Oryzias latipes: one gene and its partner. The protein of the gene in region 1 binds, or shares a complex with, the protein of each later gene. Links are inferred from orthologs where the notes say so. Each region holds a gene or a part of one and is shown in the gene's direction. Other genes may lie near its edges.

Region 1 (8,780 bases):
CATGAGATGAAGAGCAGACTGAAAGCAGACACTCGGCAGCCTGGATATTCACAGAAGCAGGAATCTGGTTCATAAAGTCAATTAAGATAATTGAACTCATAGATAGTGATTGAAATTCTTTTTTCCCACAAATTGATCTTATCACCTCATAGTGAGTGAGAAGGTCCTGCTTCAAATCCCAGCAGGATCTTTTCCGTGTGGAGTTTGCCTGTTCTCCCAGTGCATGTGTGGGTTTTTCCAGACACTCTGGCTTCCTCCCAGTGTCCACAAATATGCATCTTAAGTCAATTGATGACTCTAAATTGTCCCAAGGTGTGAATATGTGTGTGTCACTGCAATGGACCGCAAAAACCATCAAGGTATATCCAACCTTTGCCCAACAGTGACTGGGATGGGCTCCGGCAGCCCTGTGACGCCAAAATAGATCAGAAAATGGGTTGATGGGATGAGATTCTGCATTTATTTGTGAAACCAGGTCAGAGGCTTGGGGTAACGACAGAGTTTCCCCCATAGAGCTTCAAGATTAGATATGAAGAAAGGATGTGACACTTACTATGTCATGAAAATATCACAAATCTTTAAAAAGGTCGACAAAATGGGTTGAAATGTGTCGCTAAATCCAGAACTGCAGGGAAGAGAAGTGCTGGGTTATTCAAATCAAAATATGTTTTACGGTCAAAATGACTTAAGCCAAAAGCTGTCCTTGTTGATTTTAGATTGAAGAATTATTCAAAGAGCATGCTTCCACTTTGAGGCATCTTATCCTATCATCCCACAACTTACCAGAGACAGAAAAGGGGAAAGTGCAGTTGTAGAGGAGTGCCAGCTCGCCAATCGTATCCCCTGGTTCAATTGTCAGCAGCTTGCACCCGTCTTGAGTCACGCTCAATCTTCCTTCTGTCAACATCACACACTTAGTAGGAAAAAGGAGCACATTGATAGTATAGAATCCATGTCGGATAAAAGTAACTGTCAGCTTGATGCGCACTTCATGCACAAAAGATGGTTCAAGTGACAAGACTGAAAGCAGGAGGCAGCTTCCTCTCTGATGAAATCTACGTTCAGTTCATGACCTCTTTTCTCCTGGTATTCTTGTTCATGTTCCCCGTCTTTAAGCGGGAGCTATTTGTGTGCTTTAAACCATAAAGCTGTCATCAAATGCAAAAAAAAAAAAAAACAAGCTGCAAAATGAGTTTTAAAAAGCAGTTGTTGGTGAAAACAAATTATTTTAGCCACTTTCCTCACAAGAAACCTCTAATAAATAATCTTAAGGATGACAGATGGCAGCAATTTACCTTCTAAAATAAAAGCCTGCTCCCCAGCGCTCCCCTCCTGTATGAGAGTGCAGTTTTGATTGATGGAGCAGCGATATGTGCAGGATGTGACAGCTCTCATTTCTCCTTCGTCTAAGTTCTTCAACAGGTCGTTTTTCAAAAGCCCTGCCTGGATCAGGCTTTGAGATCTGATGACACACAGGGATGATAAAGATGCAACACTCCGAGTGTAGCTGTCAATCACCTTAAATGCCGCGCCACAAGCCACAAATGCTGACTCAAAATGCTTGACCATTGAGTGATGCTAAAAAATTTGAAAAGTTGGCCTTCTTAGCTGAAGTTGGAGGAACACAGTGTGCTCTTACTGTTGACTTTTGTCACAGCTTTTGTGTGAAATCCTGGCGAGAGTCACGGGGTCCGGGCTGAAGGGTTCTGAAATGACTGTGTGCTTTTTAGCTCGCTCCATGCCCTCAATTTGAGGAGCTATAAAAAATAATTGAGATTTTTAGGTCACGTCTACAACCTGTACTTTTAAATGATTGACCTACTCTTTACCTGCACTGGGTGAGGGTCCTGAGAGGCAAACAGTGGTCCTGTAACGGTCCAGTTCTTCCTGTAGCCTTCGAATGAGTTCATCCTTTGTATCCAGTTCAAGCTCCAACTCATCTATGAGTGTGTCTCTCTGGCGGAGCTCCTCGATTTTTAGTTGCAGAGCAAACTGGAGGTCCCTCAGTGTACCCATGATCTGCAGGCATCAGCCAGGAAAGCACAAAGATAAACAGCTCGTTGCTATGAGAATAAAAAAGAAATTGTAATTTTTTATTTCACAAACTTAAATATGAAAAATATTATGCATATCTATCTATGTCAAAATGCTGCCTTGCAATTGTAGCACACATTTCCATCCAGGTTAAAGGCAAAAACAATTCATTGTCAAGTGCATCATAAGTTTATCCCACTAAAAAGAATACATTTTCAGAGTAAACAAATTATACTTTTTTTTATTATGTACGTTTTATGTGAAGCTGCAAGGTTTTATGTAGGCTATATAAAAATTGTCAAAAGAGAAAAAAACAATAACAAAGATAAATTGTCTTTATCATCTTAAATTTAATTACACTCAGCCACAGATCCATTGTTTTTTCAACACCTAATTGATGGATGGTACACAAATGCTACTCACCGGTGTAGGTGAGCAGTCCGCCTGGCGTCCTCAAGTGAAGGATGCTGGTCAGGAGGAATGCCCACAGCGCAGACAGGCGGTCACGTGACGCGGGCTCCCTCCAACCACGAGGAGGGGGAACAGAATGACACATGCACAGGCTGGATCCGAACTGGGTCAGAGGAAAGTAGTTCTAATGGGAAAATTTGACACTAAATTTTGCTTTCGGAAAGAAAAAAGAACGAGCATCTGCCCGACTTTGGACATTAAAAAAATGTCAATGCTGTAAACGCATTTTTTGTGAAAATCTTTTTGTGTATTGAACATAAGCAATAGAAGGTGGTCAGGTAATTATGGGTAAATTGTAACAGTAATCTACAGGTGAGTCGGATCCAATTTTCTTTTCAAATTGACAAACACGTTACTATTCAAATGTAATGTAATGACAAAAGTTTATCACCATGTTTTTTGTCTGTCAAAGGAAAAAAAACACCCATGTGTGTACAGGTGTATTGGCACAGTATCCTGCTTAGGAGATCAATTTGGATATCATCGCCTAACCACTTTAGTTCCGATAAACTTTTAATTGAACTTTAATCGTGGTGTCATTTCTTCTTAGCTGCGGTACATCCTTCATGCCAGTAGGCGGCAGCAGCATTACTTGATGTCAGCAACAGAGGCAGTGGCATCGTTGAGAGGAAACAGGAGAAGAAGATGGGACGCTGACGGGACCACAGCCAGTGTGGCTATAACGAGCAAACTTAGTAACCCTTTTGGCTGGACTTTAATCACATTATTGTGTGTTTTTGTTTTTAGTGAGAGTGTTGAAAAATGATTCTTACAGTAAAGCCACTTCAAGGGAAGGAGTGCAGTGTTCAGGTTAGTTAAAAAATCGAACTCCATAATGCTAATTTGCACAATCAGCTAGCCGGGTATATCTGTTAGCCGCTCAGCATCATAAGTTTTTTAAAGTGCTTTGAATAAAGTGAACATAAATTTAATTTATTAGTGACTGTAACTCTAACACTAACCAGTACTAAAGATGCGGTTGTACATATACACACCCGTTTATAGTTCTAAAGCAGCTTTACCGCAGCTAGCATGTTAGCTAATTTAGAAATGCAAGACGAAGAACTCTTTCTGTCTGAATCATTCTCGCTGAGGTCACGCCCAGCAGCTGAGTGGAAGTTGTTGTTACTCCTTACTTGGTGCTAATGCAGTAAAGAGAAGTGAGTAAGGAACCGCGGTGTATTAGAGGACTTTGTTTGGTCAGCGCGTTGAAACAAAAAACGGTGTTGGTATTATTTTACAGTTCAGCAGTTATATTTGCTGCTCCTGGATGTGCCTTTGTGTCAAATCAGTTAAGACATACAGTTGCATGAAAGCAGCATTATGAACCTGCTTCTCTTATCACAAATTTAGAATTGTATATATTTTTCATTTACATAAAGTAATCATTTTAAAACTCCACAGCACTTCATTAACTTTTTTAATTATGTAGTTATATATTCTATTTATAATTTTTTTTAACCAAAACATTTTTTTGGTTTTGTGTTGTTCTTATTTTGAGTACCGTAGTACTTATGATCATGTTTTTTTTCTTTAATGCCAACTTTAAAGTGTAGCGGTAATTACACATTATACATTATATATGGCTGTTCTTCAGATTAAGTCAAACATGTGCACTTAAAATTGGTCATACAAAGCCATTTAAGACATCTATTGAATTAGATTTTAAGCCGAGAATTTTATCCCAGACAAGACAGTGAGTTTTCGGCACATTTCGAAAAAAATACGAAGGCTTTGAATAAACAATATATTTGTAATTGTTTTGAATTATTGTAACAAATGTTTTTGTCTTGAGCTGATAAAACGTTTTCACAATAGGTACTTTGTTACTTTATTACATAAAATGAATTATTTATTTTGCCCGTTTAATACTGTTTTTATGTATTCATTTTTTTTATTATTGCATCCTTAGAACTTGTTTTCCCCGCAGTCTTTCTATACCAGTTGACTCTATTGTTCTTGTTTAAATTACAGTTTAAGAATTTGTTTTTATCCCACAGGTGACAGAAGATGAAAAGGTTTCCACAGTGAAGGAACTTGTTTCTGAGCAACTCAACATACCAGCAAACCAGCAGCGGCTGCTTTACAAAGGAAAGGCACTGGCAGGTAAAATTTGCCTACTACTTTTTTTTCTTTCCTTTATACTTTTGTCAGGTTCATAATTTATCTTTCTGTATGCCCTTTTTTCTTTCAGATGAACACAGACTTAGTGATTATTCCATTGGACCAGAGGCTAAATTGAACCTAGTAATCCGTCCTGCAGGAGAAAGATCTGCAGCCTCAGCAGTGACTGGCTGCAGCAGCAGGAACATGGGAGGACTGTGGCAGACTGTGTCCACTATACTTGCTAGACACTTCAGTCCAGCAGATGCAGCAAAAGTTCATGAACAGCTTATAAAGGTAAGATAAGTTTTTATTCATGGTTTCCCAAAAGTTGTAATGGTTAAAGTTCTGTTACTGCCTTTCAAACCCACTATATAAATTATATTACAAAACGAATGTCTATTTTAACTATTTAAAATAATTTGTCATGTTGTGAGCTTGACAGTTAAGCTCCTCTTTGTTATTACTAAACTTTGTTTTTGTTTGTTTTTAGGACTATGAACGTTCACTTCGACAGCTCAGCCTGGATGACATTGAACGACTAGCAGTGCGATTGCTTCACCCTGACAGCGAGAGCATGGACACCTCCTACATGGACTAGCATTGGAAAACCTAAATCTACTTTGTATGAATAGATTTAGGAGAAACTACATGTTTGGGAAAATAAATGTGAGGCCATTGAGAATACAATGTGTGCCTAATCAGTGATTATTGATATTGCTGACTTGTGTCAGTGACTAATGTTTATCTCAGCAATAGGGCTTTCTCATGTGTGTTTTCTCTTCTATTTTTAATATTGACACCATTTGTTGAAAGACTAGTTTTTTTTGTGTAAAATCAAAACACAAAAACATTGTTTCGTGCTAATGTTGCTTGATTTCTGGCTGCTGCAATTCCAGGCAACACTAACTTCCACTTGAGACTATTTATTATTCATGTCAGCGTTGAATGATGCCTGTTTTTATTTTATTTTTTTCATTTAAACGTGGGATAAAAGAATACACACATCTTTTATTGTTCAGATGGCCATTGTGCGATTTGTAAATATTGTTTATATATGACGACAATAAAAGATCAAGAAATTACTACGTTTTTTTGTTTTTTTTACGTTGTATTGTGAGAAATAGTTGTGTTTTGTGTAAATATTGCCGGTTTGGAAACAAGGAGAAGGAAGACTGAAGAGAATGTCGCAAGGCGGGACATTTTATTTTACCGCTGGGCGAGAACAATTAAGGGAGCCAATGAAGCAATAGCAAGACACGTGATCTATGTTTTTTGACCAATCAGGTGGGTTGCCACCAACGCTCCGCCCCTCTTTCCAAGCATTTGGTCTGTGCTTTATGTTCTGGTTACTTGTAAACCAGCTCCTATAAAATGGTGTATTTTAAACATATTTAGCATAATTTAAAGTATGAAACATAGAATAGTCGGATAGGGGTGGATATATTCGTAAACACTGAAAAGGTAAGAATGTAATATCGGGTTTATTTATTTATTTATGGCCAGTAAGCTAATGTTAGCATGAAGCTAGCAGCACATACTGTACTTCCTGCATTCATCCAGCGAGCGTTAGCAGATAACATTTATTACCTCGGACTTTGTCGATAACAAATGTCTAAAATGTACGTGCTGTCACCTTTGCTACCGGCAATCAATAGTTAATTTTAAATTTCAAATCCCTTCAAGCTAGTAAGTAGTACATTGTATCCGATGTTGGTCGAGTTGAGGCGTTGAGTCCTCTCATCATGATCATCAGGACCACTTCTCCCTGGAGAAAAGCCTTAGTAGGATAGCAACGCGCCACAGAGGAGGAAAACTGAAGATCCTGTTCCTTAGAGCTAAGCCTAAGGTTATCAATTAAACATGTTAGAGATGGTTGCATCCATGAAGCAAACAGCCTTGTTTCTCGTTGTTGAGTGTCTTGATGTTTCTGTTCACATCCCTCATGTGTTCACCAACAGTAGGAGAGACGACTGGAAAGATGGAAACTTTGATTCCCACCATCAACCGGCTGCAAGAGGTCTTTCAGACGGTCGGGACAGAGATCATACAGCTGCCTCAGATAGTCGTGGTTGGGACTCAGGTCAGTGGATGGAAACCAGAATTGGAAAACTGAGTGAAAACAATGTTGTGTTTGTACACTTATCTTGTCTTGATTATTGGATAATCATCCAGAGTAGATGTATACTAAAGTATGGTTTCACCCAGTTCAGGGTTCTAGTTAAAAAGTTCTTTTTAAATTAAAAATAGATGATGTCCTGTTATTACTCATGTGCTGTCGTTGTTTTTATAACAGAGCAGTGGAAAAAGCTCAGTGCTAGAGAGCCTGGTCGGAAGGGATTTTTTGCCTCGGGGATCTGGAATAGTCACAAGACGACCCCTTGTGTTGCAGCTCGTCAATGTTGCTCCACAACAGGAAAGGCTGAAGAATGAGCATGGTAAACAGATTATGACTCAATGATAACTCAATTCGATGTAAAACACTTAGGCTTATAATTCTCTCACAGCATTGAGTTATGTTGAAATCTTTCTATGCACTTCTCTCTGTCACTTGGTTTTGATACAGGGTTTTTCTGAACTAACACATTTTCTTCCTCTTTTTCTTTACTACTTTTTAGGAAATGGGCTTAAACAAAATATTCAAAACAGCTACACAGGTCACTATATTTGATCTGCATGAGAAAAAGTTTCTACTTCTTCATGTTTACCATTAACCGTCTCACTCATTTAGTTAATTCAGTTTATTTTCATTATGTTTTTGCCAAATCCTTTTTTTTAAATTCATATTCCATTCTTTTATACTTTAATTCTTCATCCCTGACACTTTTATGCTCTTATTTTCTATTCAGGTGTCAAAGCTGAAGAATGGGGCACATTTCTGCATTGTAAGAACCAGGTATGTTCATCATTTTTATTCTTGTTATGCTTCTGCTTCCTTTGTTTTGCAAGCTTTCTGATGTTTGATGGGTGTGCCTTTCTTAACAGATCTTCACAGATTTTCTGGAAATTCGTAAAGAAATCGAAGCAGAGACAGAGCGCACTTCGGGGGACAACAAAGTGAGAAAAAGGCTTTTGTATAACCTTACTGACCTGCAATATTTTGGTTTTACATAATAATCATGTTTTCTTTTCTTTCTTGTTTTCCAGGGAATCACTTGTGAGCCCATATATTTGAAGATATTCTCCCCCAAAGTTCTGAATCTCACTCTGGTTGATTTACCTGGAATTATCAAGGTGAACTCAGTAATCTGACAAAAATGCAATTTTTTTTTTTATCTTTACTTTTTGATTTGTGCAAACATCTGTATCTGCAATCCATGTTCATTTCATCCAAACATCTGCCTGGGTTTAATGTTGAATGCCTCTTGTTTTTGCTTTAGGTTCCTGTTGGAGACCAGCCAGAAAACATTGAGGCTCAAGTGCAAGAGATGATCTTATCCTTCATCTCCAATCCAAACTCTCTTATCCTCGCAGTATCCCCTGCCAATTCTGACTTGGCCACCTCTGATGCTCTGAAATTGGCACGTGAGGTTGATCCAGATGGTAAGACATTTTGAATACAATCCCTTTTTCTCTCTCTGAGGATTTTTGTTAAAATGTGCTTCTTGCATAACAAATCTAAATTTTAAATTACATAATGTTCAGGACTGTCTCCGTGTGTTTTTGGTTGAGATATTTCTCTCCAGTCCAAATGCTCCTGACAGTCACTTTGAAAGTCCTCGTTCATGCTGAGAACTTGCAGGTCTGATCCGTAGATTTTGGGTTCTTCAGGTCGTCGAACGCTGTTGGTGGTCAGTAAACTGGACCTGATGGATGCTGGAACTGATGCGCTGGAGGTCCTCCTGGGGAGAGTCATACCTGTAAGGCTTGGCATCATCGGGGTGGTCAACAGGTGTGAAAGAAATCATACATGTTCGTCTTATTTTAGCTTAGTCTACCACATCAGCCTTCTATGAAACCTCCATTCCTGTCTTCTTTTAGGAGCCAGCATGACATTAATACTCAAAAGAGCCTGGAGGACTCGATTAAAGACGAGCACGTTTTCCTGCAGCGCCACTACCCCTCACTCGTATCCCGAGCGGGCTCCCGTTACCTCGCAAAAACTCTTAGTAAACTGCTCATGCACCACATCAGGGACTGCCTGCCAGAGCTCAAAACACGAGTGACAGTAC
Region 2 (8,195 bases), on another chromosome or scaffold:
CGTTCAGCCCTAAAAGCTGTTAGCTGTAGCATAGCCGCGACGCACCGGAGAAGTGCTCGGCTTTCTGAATATAAGAGCCTCCTGTGGACTCTGGATACGTTAAAAAACATTGTATGATTTAAAAGGTAAGCGTTTGACGGTGTGACGCATAAAAAACGGAATGTTCTGCGCTTAAGCATTAGTAGCGACACGACAGATCAGTTAGCATCTTTAGCTAATCTGTTTGGCTAATTAGCCAGTCGGCGTTTATTTGGTTCCTAAAAAAAGTAATCCTGCTGAAGAGCAAGTGGCGATATGTTACTTTCTATCTTTTGTTATACTGTCTGTCCTAAATCTTAGTTTAATATTACATCGCTCCTGTCCTTGTTTAGCGAATACAGCCGGGCTAACTGTTTTTGGCTAACGCTAGTACAGGGAGTCCGTCTTTGGGAAAAAAACAAAGCATTAAATCAAATTTAACCCACTGAGTCTAACATAAAGATATAGATGCTATTTTACGTTAATTGTATGTTTATTAAAATTCTTGTTTAGGAAATAGCTCAGTTAATAATGTATTTTAAATTAGAGCTAAATAATTCAGCTGATTGTAGTTATCCGGATTCCTTAGTTAGAGATTTTATTTTCTAGACTAAAGGCTGGTTAATAAATTCACTTCAACGTTGCCTGTTTGTTAAAAAGAAGAGGTGATCTAGATGATTGCTGAAAAATTGGAAACTACGCTCACTGTTCTTCATAAACTTATAAACATGCCGTGGACGCACCATGCTTGTTGAACAGATTGTTAAATAACCTGGTGCTTATCAAAATTTTTGTAAAAGTGTACAAACACTTTAAAAAGTCACATAAACAGAATAATTTGTAATTGAAGATGTAATACAATTGCAGGAACGCTATGGATGAACAAACCTCAGACATAGAAGTGACGGTCAAAACTCTGGACTCTCAGAGCAGAACCTACTCAGTCGGTGCTCAGGTAAATGGAAAGTTCCTGCTGTAAATATTTGGGTAGTTTCCTTTTGTCTTTTATGATCTGACTGAAATGATCCATTGTTTTGCAGCTGACAGTTAAAGAGTTCAAAGAGCACATTTCTCCTTCAGTGGGCATCCCTGTGGACAAACAGAGGCTCATCTACCAGGGCAGAGTACTGCAGGATGAAAGGACGCTGGCAGACTACAGTTAGTCAAAGGATATATTAAATCTTCCTCCTCTTAACCTTTCAGCTTGTTGCTTCAGGGAGTCTCTCCATCTGAACATCCCTTCTGCCTCCTTTCAATCACACCACCAAGGAGCATTTCAAAACTATTTCTTTTAAGTAAAAATTCTGTCATTGAATTAGTTTTTGGTTCCATCTGCTCTTTCTGCTGATTTGCCACTGCTTCTGTTTTAGCTGACCATATTCTCCGCTACTCTTGTAGATGTGGCTGGAAAGGTGATTCACCTTGTGGAGCGGGCCCCCCCTCCACCCTCCCAGCCTGGCTCGGGGTCAGGGGCCACCGCAGCCGACAGCGGGCAGTCTTCATCCTCCCAGGGAGCATCGCAGGTGCCTCCACACGATCGCAATGCCAACAGCTATGTCATGCTTGGAACCTTCAACCTCCCCGTCAATATCATGGACCCCCAGCAGATACAGGTAGGTCTGCATTGTTGGTGTGCGTTGTCAGGGATGAAGGCAGCACTGCTCAACAGATGACGAGATTCCAGTTGCTCAGGGCAACTAAACTCTGTGTTTCGGCATGAAGATCTGAGTTCAGTCAAGTTGAAACATTACTTTTCTAAACGGCTGCCTTCAATCTGCCATGAGGCTGTCTGCTTTTGTTAACAACCTTTGATCACAAACCTGCAGGAAATTTTTCTTAAAAGGACCAAGTCTTCTGGATCAAAATGACATGAAAGTCAGATGGGTTCGTTCAAAGTGAAAATAAAACCACAGGGATTGATTTCAGATTTTAAAACCATCTAGATGTAGTCGGTTTATCACGCAGAGCACAAGTGAATTGTTCTGTGTGATCTCTGCATTGTTTTCATCTCAGCATTTTCCACTATGTCCGATCATATTGTGTGGAGATGTTAAAGGGAAAATGGACAAAGATGGACTTTAGAGACTCCGGCATATGAACTCTGTTCATGTCATCTTGATGGGTTTGCTAAATTATCCTAAAAACAAATACATTTAAAGCTGCAACGACTGTTGAATGACCATTGCCACCCTGCACCATGGGCCCATCAACAGCCCCCCAGGTCTGTCTGCTGCCCCCAGCAGCTTCTCCTCGGCCTGTGCTGCAACAGAACAGGATTAAGGCGTGATGCTCATCCTCTAACTCTGCAGCCCCATCTGAAAATGGTGCCACAGTAAAACCCCACCCGCTCCTCTACATTCCATGGTCCATGACATCAGTGAAGATGGAGCATAAAGAAATTTAATGATTTTTACTGGATGGCTCTTTCTTAGGGGATATATATATATAAAAAAAAGGTTTTACTGGCCCAATTTTACTTAGTTTTTTTTGTTGGAAGAGAACAAATCGTTTACTTTTTATGACAAATTTTTGAATCAGTTTTGCGGATTTTCATGCATATTAGGGGTCTAATTAGGTCTCAAAGAGGGAGAAAGTAAAATAATAAATAATAACAATTGCAATTATGACTCTTAGTCCACTTTGTGATTGCTTGAAGACTGTGGTTTAAGCCGAAAATTACTCAATGATATGATAAAGTATATAATACTTATATAATAAAGACACTAACTGTACATTAAAGCTGTGTGATTCTTGTGTCTCCTAGATGTCTGTTCAGCAGATGGTCTCTGGAATGGGAGATAATGCAAGAAATGCTCGAGTCACAGCCAGTACTGGAGTAAGTAATAGAAGCTCCCTTCTATTCTTTAAAAGCTCGTCAAAAAACAGGATTTGAAACAAAAACCTTTTCTTTCCTGTTGTGACTGCTCTCAGAGCAACGGGTCTGTAAACGTTCACATCGACATGGACCAGCCGGTGCAGAGCGAACCCAGGCTGAGGCTGGTTCTGGCCGAGAATCTGCTGCGAGACCTCAACGATGTCATCAGCAGGATGGAGGCGAGCCACTGCGCCACAGGAGTCTTTATCTCCCAACCGCCATTCACTGACATTTGTCGTTTTTAGGGTCGACAGAGCGATTCCCAAACCTCCCAATCAGAGACGGCCTCTGCTGCTGCTCCGCCTCCTCCCTCTTCTTCCTCCACAAGCTCCACCCCTTCTCCCTCCACTCAGCCCATGGACACCTCACCTCCTCCAACAACTCCACCCACCTTCTCTGCTCAGTCTGAGGGACCCACTCCACAGCCAGGACCCAAGTGAGAGATTGAATTCAAAAGATTCACGAGAATTTTATTTAGTTTGATGATATTTGAAGGCCGTCTGTTTAAACAAGTGATCAGCTCATAAAACCAACGATTTATTGATTTGAGAAGCTGATAAGTTTTCTTATCCCCACACCTCTAGACTAAACATTAGAGGTTCCACCAAAATATTGAAATAATTCAAATTTATGTTTCTATTTGGTCAAATATCAATCTATTTTTCAAATTTCATTTAAAGTCGTTTTTTGTGTAGTTATGAAAACATTTGTTACATGACAGATATCAACTAAACAAAGGAGATTCTTTCCTTAATAAATGATACATTTTTATAATTAAAAAATATAATTATTAAAATAAAAATCCAACCTTATGACATATCCTCCGGGTTTTTTTTATATTAAAAGTTTCTTAACTTAACTAACTAAATGTACTTCTAACCCAGCTTTAATCTAGTCTACAGTAGATAAATTATTTTTATATCTGTTTTATTTGTTTGCTGTCGTTGCCCCCCCACCCCTGCAGTCACCCCAGCCCCGCTGAGCTGGCAGAGATGTTGTCAGAGCTGCGGAGAGTCGAGGAGAGGCTGCAGCCTTTCATCCAGAGAGCGCACGGCATCTTGGAGACGGCGGCGGCGGCCGAGTACAACAATGACACAGTAATGCAGCACCCCTGCATCACGAGGCGCTCTGTCGCTGTAATGTTTGTGTTGGCGTGACTAAATATTACATTTTTATGTTGTTCTCCGTGCAGGAGCGGGAGGACGACCAGAGGACCCTCATCCAGATGTGCGAAGGTCTCCGGCTCCTTGGCAATGCCCTGGTTGCCCTCAGTGATCTTCGACTGAACCTCTTGAGCCCGATCCCCCGACATTTGCATGTGGTGCGGCCCTTTTCCCACTACGCCAGCCCGGTCACTCTGCCCAGCGCCGTGCATCACCATGTCCCAGTACAAGTACGTCACAGTCGTCAGTTTTCAGGTCGGTGCCCCCGCTCGCACACTTCCACTGACCTCTCTGCGCTTCACTCACAGATGAACCTGGGGGCCACAGTGACTGTTGCGGCCAACAGCACTGAGGGACAGGCTCCGCCCACACAACCGTCCGGCCAAGCGGAGCAGGCAGGTCAGGGACAGACCCCCCCCGCACAGACTTCCCCGTCCAATCAGCCGCCGGGACAGGGACAGGGACAGGCTGGCCCCCGGGTCATCAGGATCAGCCACCAGGCAGTCCCGGTGGTCATGATGCAGATGAACGCGGACGGTGTGTTGTCCCAGACGCGCTGATTGAGTTTTCATCGCAGCAGTTCTGGGTTTCAGCAGCTGCCGCTGAAGTCTTCGGCTGCAACATCCATGACGCTCCGGAAATGACCGACGTGTTTGTGTTTGTGATCGCAGGTCCCAGCCCCAGCCCTGCAGCGGGGGGACAGCCGATCCCGGCACAGCCAGGTGAGGGTCGGCTGTGGCTTCGTTTCCGTCTCTGGATCATATTCTTCTGACCTTGTCCCCTCTGCCCCCGTTCAGGTGGTCTGCCCCCGGACTTCATGCGGAACCTCATGCAGCAGATCAGTCAGTACGCGGCGGCTGTCGCCACCAGCGCCGCCACCGCTGCTGCTACTGGACAGCCGGCCGCCCCCCAGCCCACCCCTCCTGGTCAGAGCTCCACTCCCAGCTCCTCAGCTGCTACAACGGGTCCCAACACCCCCACTACCACCCCAACCGCTCCCCCTCCACCGTCCCACGCCAGCCCGCAGCCTCAAGCCAGGGTGGTGTTCACCCGACCTTCTTTCACCACCAACATTGCCCCCCCGGCCTTCGGGACCCGTGGAACCACCATCAACGTGAGGGCGGCCATGCCGGGCCAGCAGCAGGGGCAGGTGGGGCGCCGACTGTTTGGACTCTTTCTGATTCATGCAGGAAACTGACGGCCTTTTCCTCGCAGGCTTTCAATCCGGTGGCATTTAACCAGATGATCACCGGGCTGGTGGGACAGATGCTGCTGCCGGGGCAGATGGGTAATGACCTCACTCGTAACCAGAAGAATTAAAAGACCGTTGTCTTTTCTAAATGGTTAAAGAGGAACTTCTGCTTTTTCCAGCCGGTCAAACGGTCACCTCTTCCACTGCGTCCACATCCTCCTCTTCCTCTCAGACTTCCTCCTCCTTCTCCTTCTCCACCTCGGGTCCAATGCCTCCATCTGCAAACGCCCCACCCACCCAGGACCAAGGGGAGGCCGGCGGCAGCGAGCCCCAGCCGCAGGAAATCCCCCCCGACATCAGTCAGCTCATGAGCTCGCTCTTAGGCGGTGCCAGTGGCGGAGCCCCCTCCATAACCGTGACCACGTCCGGAGTCCCCGCCTTCCTCCAAGGCATGAGTGAGTTCATGCAGCAGGTGGGTGTTTGCGGCGTGAAAACAGCACAGAAACGATGAAGGTGATTCTTCCCGGCTGAGATCGTCTGTATTTCTGTGGCCCTCCAGCCGATCTTCCCCACGCCCCCCTCTGGAACCCCCGCAGCCCCCGCTGCAGGGGCCACCTCTGCTCCCAACCCGGCTGCAGGCGCGTCCGAGTCCATCAACCCGGAGCTGTTCACCGGCATCGTCCGTGGCGTCCTGAGCACGCTGATGGGCTCTCTGGGCCAAACGCAGAACGACTCTGAGAGCATCGCTCAGTTCATGCAGAGGCTGTCCCAGGCCACCAACATCTTCATCAGCACCGAAGAGCCCACAGGTGCGTTTAGTCGGCAAGCCTCAGCGCATTCTGCACCCGCAGGAGGACTCATCTCTCCTCTTTGTTGTGGATGTCAGGTTTCTTCGGGGAGCTGCTGATGCTGGTGTGTCAGCTCTTCACCATGTCGGACCTGGTGATGCTGCTCCACGGACAGCACCAGCCGCTGAGCCGCATCCAGCCCATGCTGTCGCAGTTCTTCACCGAGAACTACCTCAGCGGCAGAGAGCCCACCGACCAGAACATCGCTGTCAGTCCTCCTGCTTCATGTCTGCAGATTTTTAACCTGGACCCTCTGTTCATCGGTTCTCCTGCTTCCTTCCCACAGGCTGCTGCTGACAGTCTGGTTAATGAACTGGAGGAGTACATCACTGAGAGCTTCGTAAGTCATCACTTTACATCCACTAAGCAGCTTTCTCATTTACACTCTGGAGGCTGAACTTTAAGCTTTTTCTGCAAATTTGTGTTCATGGCAAACGTCTGAATCTACAGGTTACGACTTTGTTTAAACCCACATACGACAAAAATTCACCTTTGATGAATCCTGACTGTCACCATAAACCATTATTAGTGCCAAACTCCACCTTATTGAAATATCTAAAGCCTCAGATGAAATAATTCTATTTACAAACGTATAGAGACGAGAATCCAGAGTCAAAAAACACATTTGATCATATTTGTCATCCTCCTGACTTGGAGGTCGTTCCTGAAATTCACTGACTGTGACACAAGGGGGCGACATTCTAACAGCAGGAGGAGCCAGAGAGGATTTTTTTTTAAACTATTTCAGATAAAAGCTTAAAAAATGTTTTTGTCAAAATTCTGACTACTGAAAAACAATTTAAAGCTAAAAATAATAAATTTCGGCAGGTCAAGTTAAAGATGGAAGATTTTTTTCTCCCATAAACTGGATTTTACCTGCCAGGGAAAGAATTGGCACATAAAAAAACATGAAGTTTTCTACAGTAACTATTTATAAATCGTTTAATCTAAAGAGAGAAAAACACAAATCTTTAAAAAATAATGGAACATTTGCTGTAATTATTTTGAACAGAGTAAAATTTTTGGCAGATTTTAGACCCAAACCAACCTTCACCATGTCTGAAGGATTTGTAGCCTTTTCATTTTAACTAACAGAAATATTGAATATGTTTAAAGAAAACATCCAAATTTGCCAAAATATAAGCTAGAACTTTTAAGAGCTCAACATTTTTGTACCAGAATGGTTAAAACTGACTGAAAACACGGTGAGAACTGGAGCTTTTTCTTCAGGTGAACAAACAGTTTTCCTGGTTGTTCAGAACAGCAGCTTTCTTTGAACAGAGAGAGTCTTCAGTTGCTGTGCTGGACGAAGTGGACGTCACCCAGACCAACATGGCCTTCTTCAGACATCACCTGACCACCATCGCCACACACATCCTTCACTGCACAGGTGAGCAGCGTCACAGATTAGAAACAAAACGTTGGCGTGAATGTGAGGAAACGGCTGATGGTGGATCTAATGCCACCTCTCTGTTTTTAGATGAGACTTTTGGACCCACGCTGCTGAGGATGTGCAACCGCGCGCTCTTCGAGTGTCTCGCTCTGAACCTGCACTGCCTGAGAGGAGACCAGAGGGCTCTGACCGCCGTCATCAACCACCGGATTGTGAGTTTCCTTCTGCTGGTGTGAGAGTTCAACGCACAAGTCTGATGTTTTAAAGTGGCATCAGGTAGTTTAACCTGCAAGAACGCCGACCCATTTTTTATTATTGGACTTTGTCACAGTCCAAGTGGATCATGTGACACATTTCTGATGCATTTCTGTTACACTGATGTCACCATCTGTGTAACCTTATGGTTTAAGGTTTAGGAAATGAATAAATATGTGTCAACACAGATATCACCAGCCCAGTGATCATCAGGTTAAACGCCACTGTTTTTAGCCATAATCAAAAAACAGCATTGTCTTCAAAGGCTGAGTTTCTGCAGAGCAGCACGACTTCTGAGTTTGGGGACTGTTGGTCAGAGCTTTTAGCCCAGCCTCAGTATTTTCTATGTAGCAAATGAGCTCTTCTTCAAAGTGCTTTTTTTTTGGTCTGCTCCTGATTCACAGCGAATCATATAAAAAGATGCTCAGAAATGCAATTTGGAGCTTTTTTG

Evidence for each region.
Region 2: the proteins of ubl4a (region 1) and bag6 are in contact, whole or in part, in a crystal structure (PDB 4X86), measured with the Homo sapiens proteins. The link is inferred for Oryzias latipes from reciprocal best matches to the Homo sapiens genes UBL4A and BAG6. Residues at the interface, in NP_055050.1 of Homo sapiens: Val95, Leu98, Ile99, Val102, Leu103, Arg105, His106, Phe107, Ser108, Asp111, Arg114, Val115, Gln118, Leu119, Asp122, Tyr123, Glu124, Ser126, Leu127, Ser128, Leu130, Ile135, Leu138, Arg141, Phe142; in NP_001092004.1 of Homo sapiens: Gly1052, Pro1053, Leu1055, Leu1057, Ala1060, Val1061, Ala1064, Ala1065, Ala1067, Ala1068, Ala1070, Arg1071, Pro1072, Leu1073, Thr1074, Ser1078, Leu1079, Asp1082, Leu1083, Glu1087, Val1088, Ser1091, Tyr1092, Gln1095, Leu1096, Asp1099, Ile1100, Arg1103, Leu1104.

Annotation. Positions count from the first base shown.
Region 1 is NC_019867.2:16,993,309-17,002,088, forward strand, and holds ubl4a (ubiquitin-like protein 4A), read left to right. Parts: upstream 1-3,119; 5' UTR 3,120-3,267; coding exon 3,268-3,315; intron 3,316-4,505; coding exon 4,506-4,611; intron 4,612-4,699; coding exon 4,700-4,905; intron 4,906-5,101; coding exon 5,102-5,209; 3' UTR 5,210-5,693; downstream 5,694-8,780. Other genes in the region: cGMP-dependent protein kinase 1-like, read right to left, coding at 784-897, 1,296-1,462, 1,640-1,757, 1,830-2,016; dynamin-1-like protein, read left to right, coding at 6,590-6,691, 6,905-7,046, 7,227-7,265, 7,458-7,504, 7,594-7,665, 7,756-7,842, 7,989-8,151, 8,380-8,500 and 1 more. UniProt on the Homo sapiens protein: As part of a cytosolic protein quality control complex, the BAG6/BAT3 complex, maintains misfolded and hydrophobic patches-containing proteins in a soluble state and participates in their proper delivery to the endoplasmic reticulum or alternatively can promote their sorting to the proteasome where they undergo degradation.
Region 2 is NC_019874.2:28,121,330-28,129,524, forward strand, and holds the start of bag6 (large proline-rich protein BAG6), read left to right. Parts: 5' UTR 1-125; intron 126-883; exon of another isoform or gene 884-885; 5' UTR 886-892; coding exon 893-973; intron 974-1,058; coding exon 1,059-1,176; intron 1,177-1,416; coding exon 1,417-1,631; intron 1,632-2,782; coding exon 2,783-2,854; intron 2,855-2,949; coding exon 2,950-3,072; intron 3,073-3,138; coding exon 3,139-3,329; intron 3,330-3,857; coding exon 3,858-3,990; intron 3,991-4,085; coding exon 4,086-4,286; intron 4,287-4,364; coding exon 4,365-4,593; intron 4,594-4,727; coding exon 4,728-4,778; intron 4,779-4,853; coding exon 4,854-5,206; intron 5,207-5,271; coding exon 5,272-5,344; intron 5,345-5,427; coding exon 5,428-5,720; intron 5,721-5,807; coding exon 5,808-6,057; intron 6,058-6,134; coding exon 6,135-6,304; intron 6,305-6,382; coding exon 6,383-6,436; intron 6,437-7,377; coding exon 7,378-7,486; intron 7,487-7,576; coding exon 7,577-7,701; intron 7,702-8,195. UniProt on the Homo sapiens protein: ATP-independent molecular chaperone preventing the aggregation of misfolded and hydrophobic patches-containing proteins.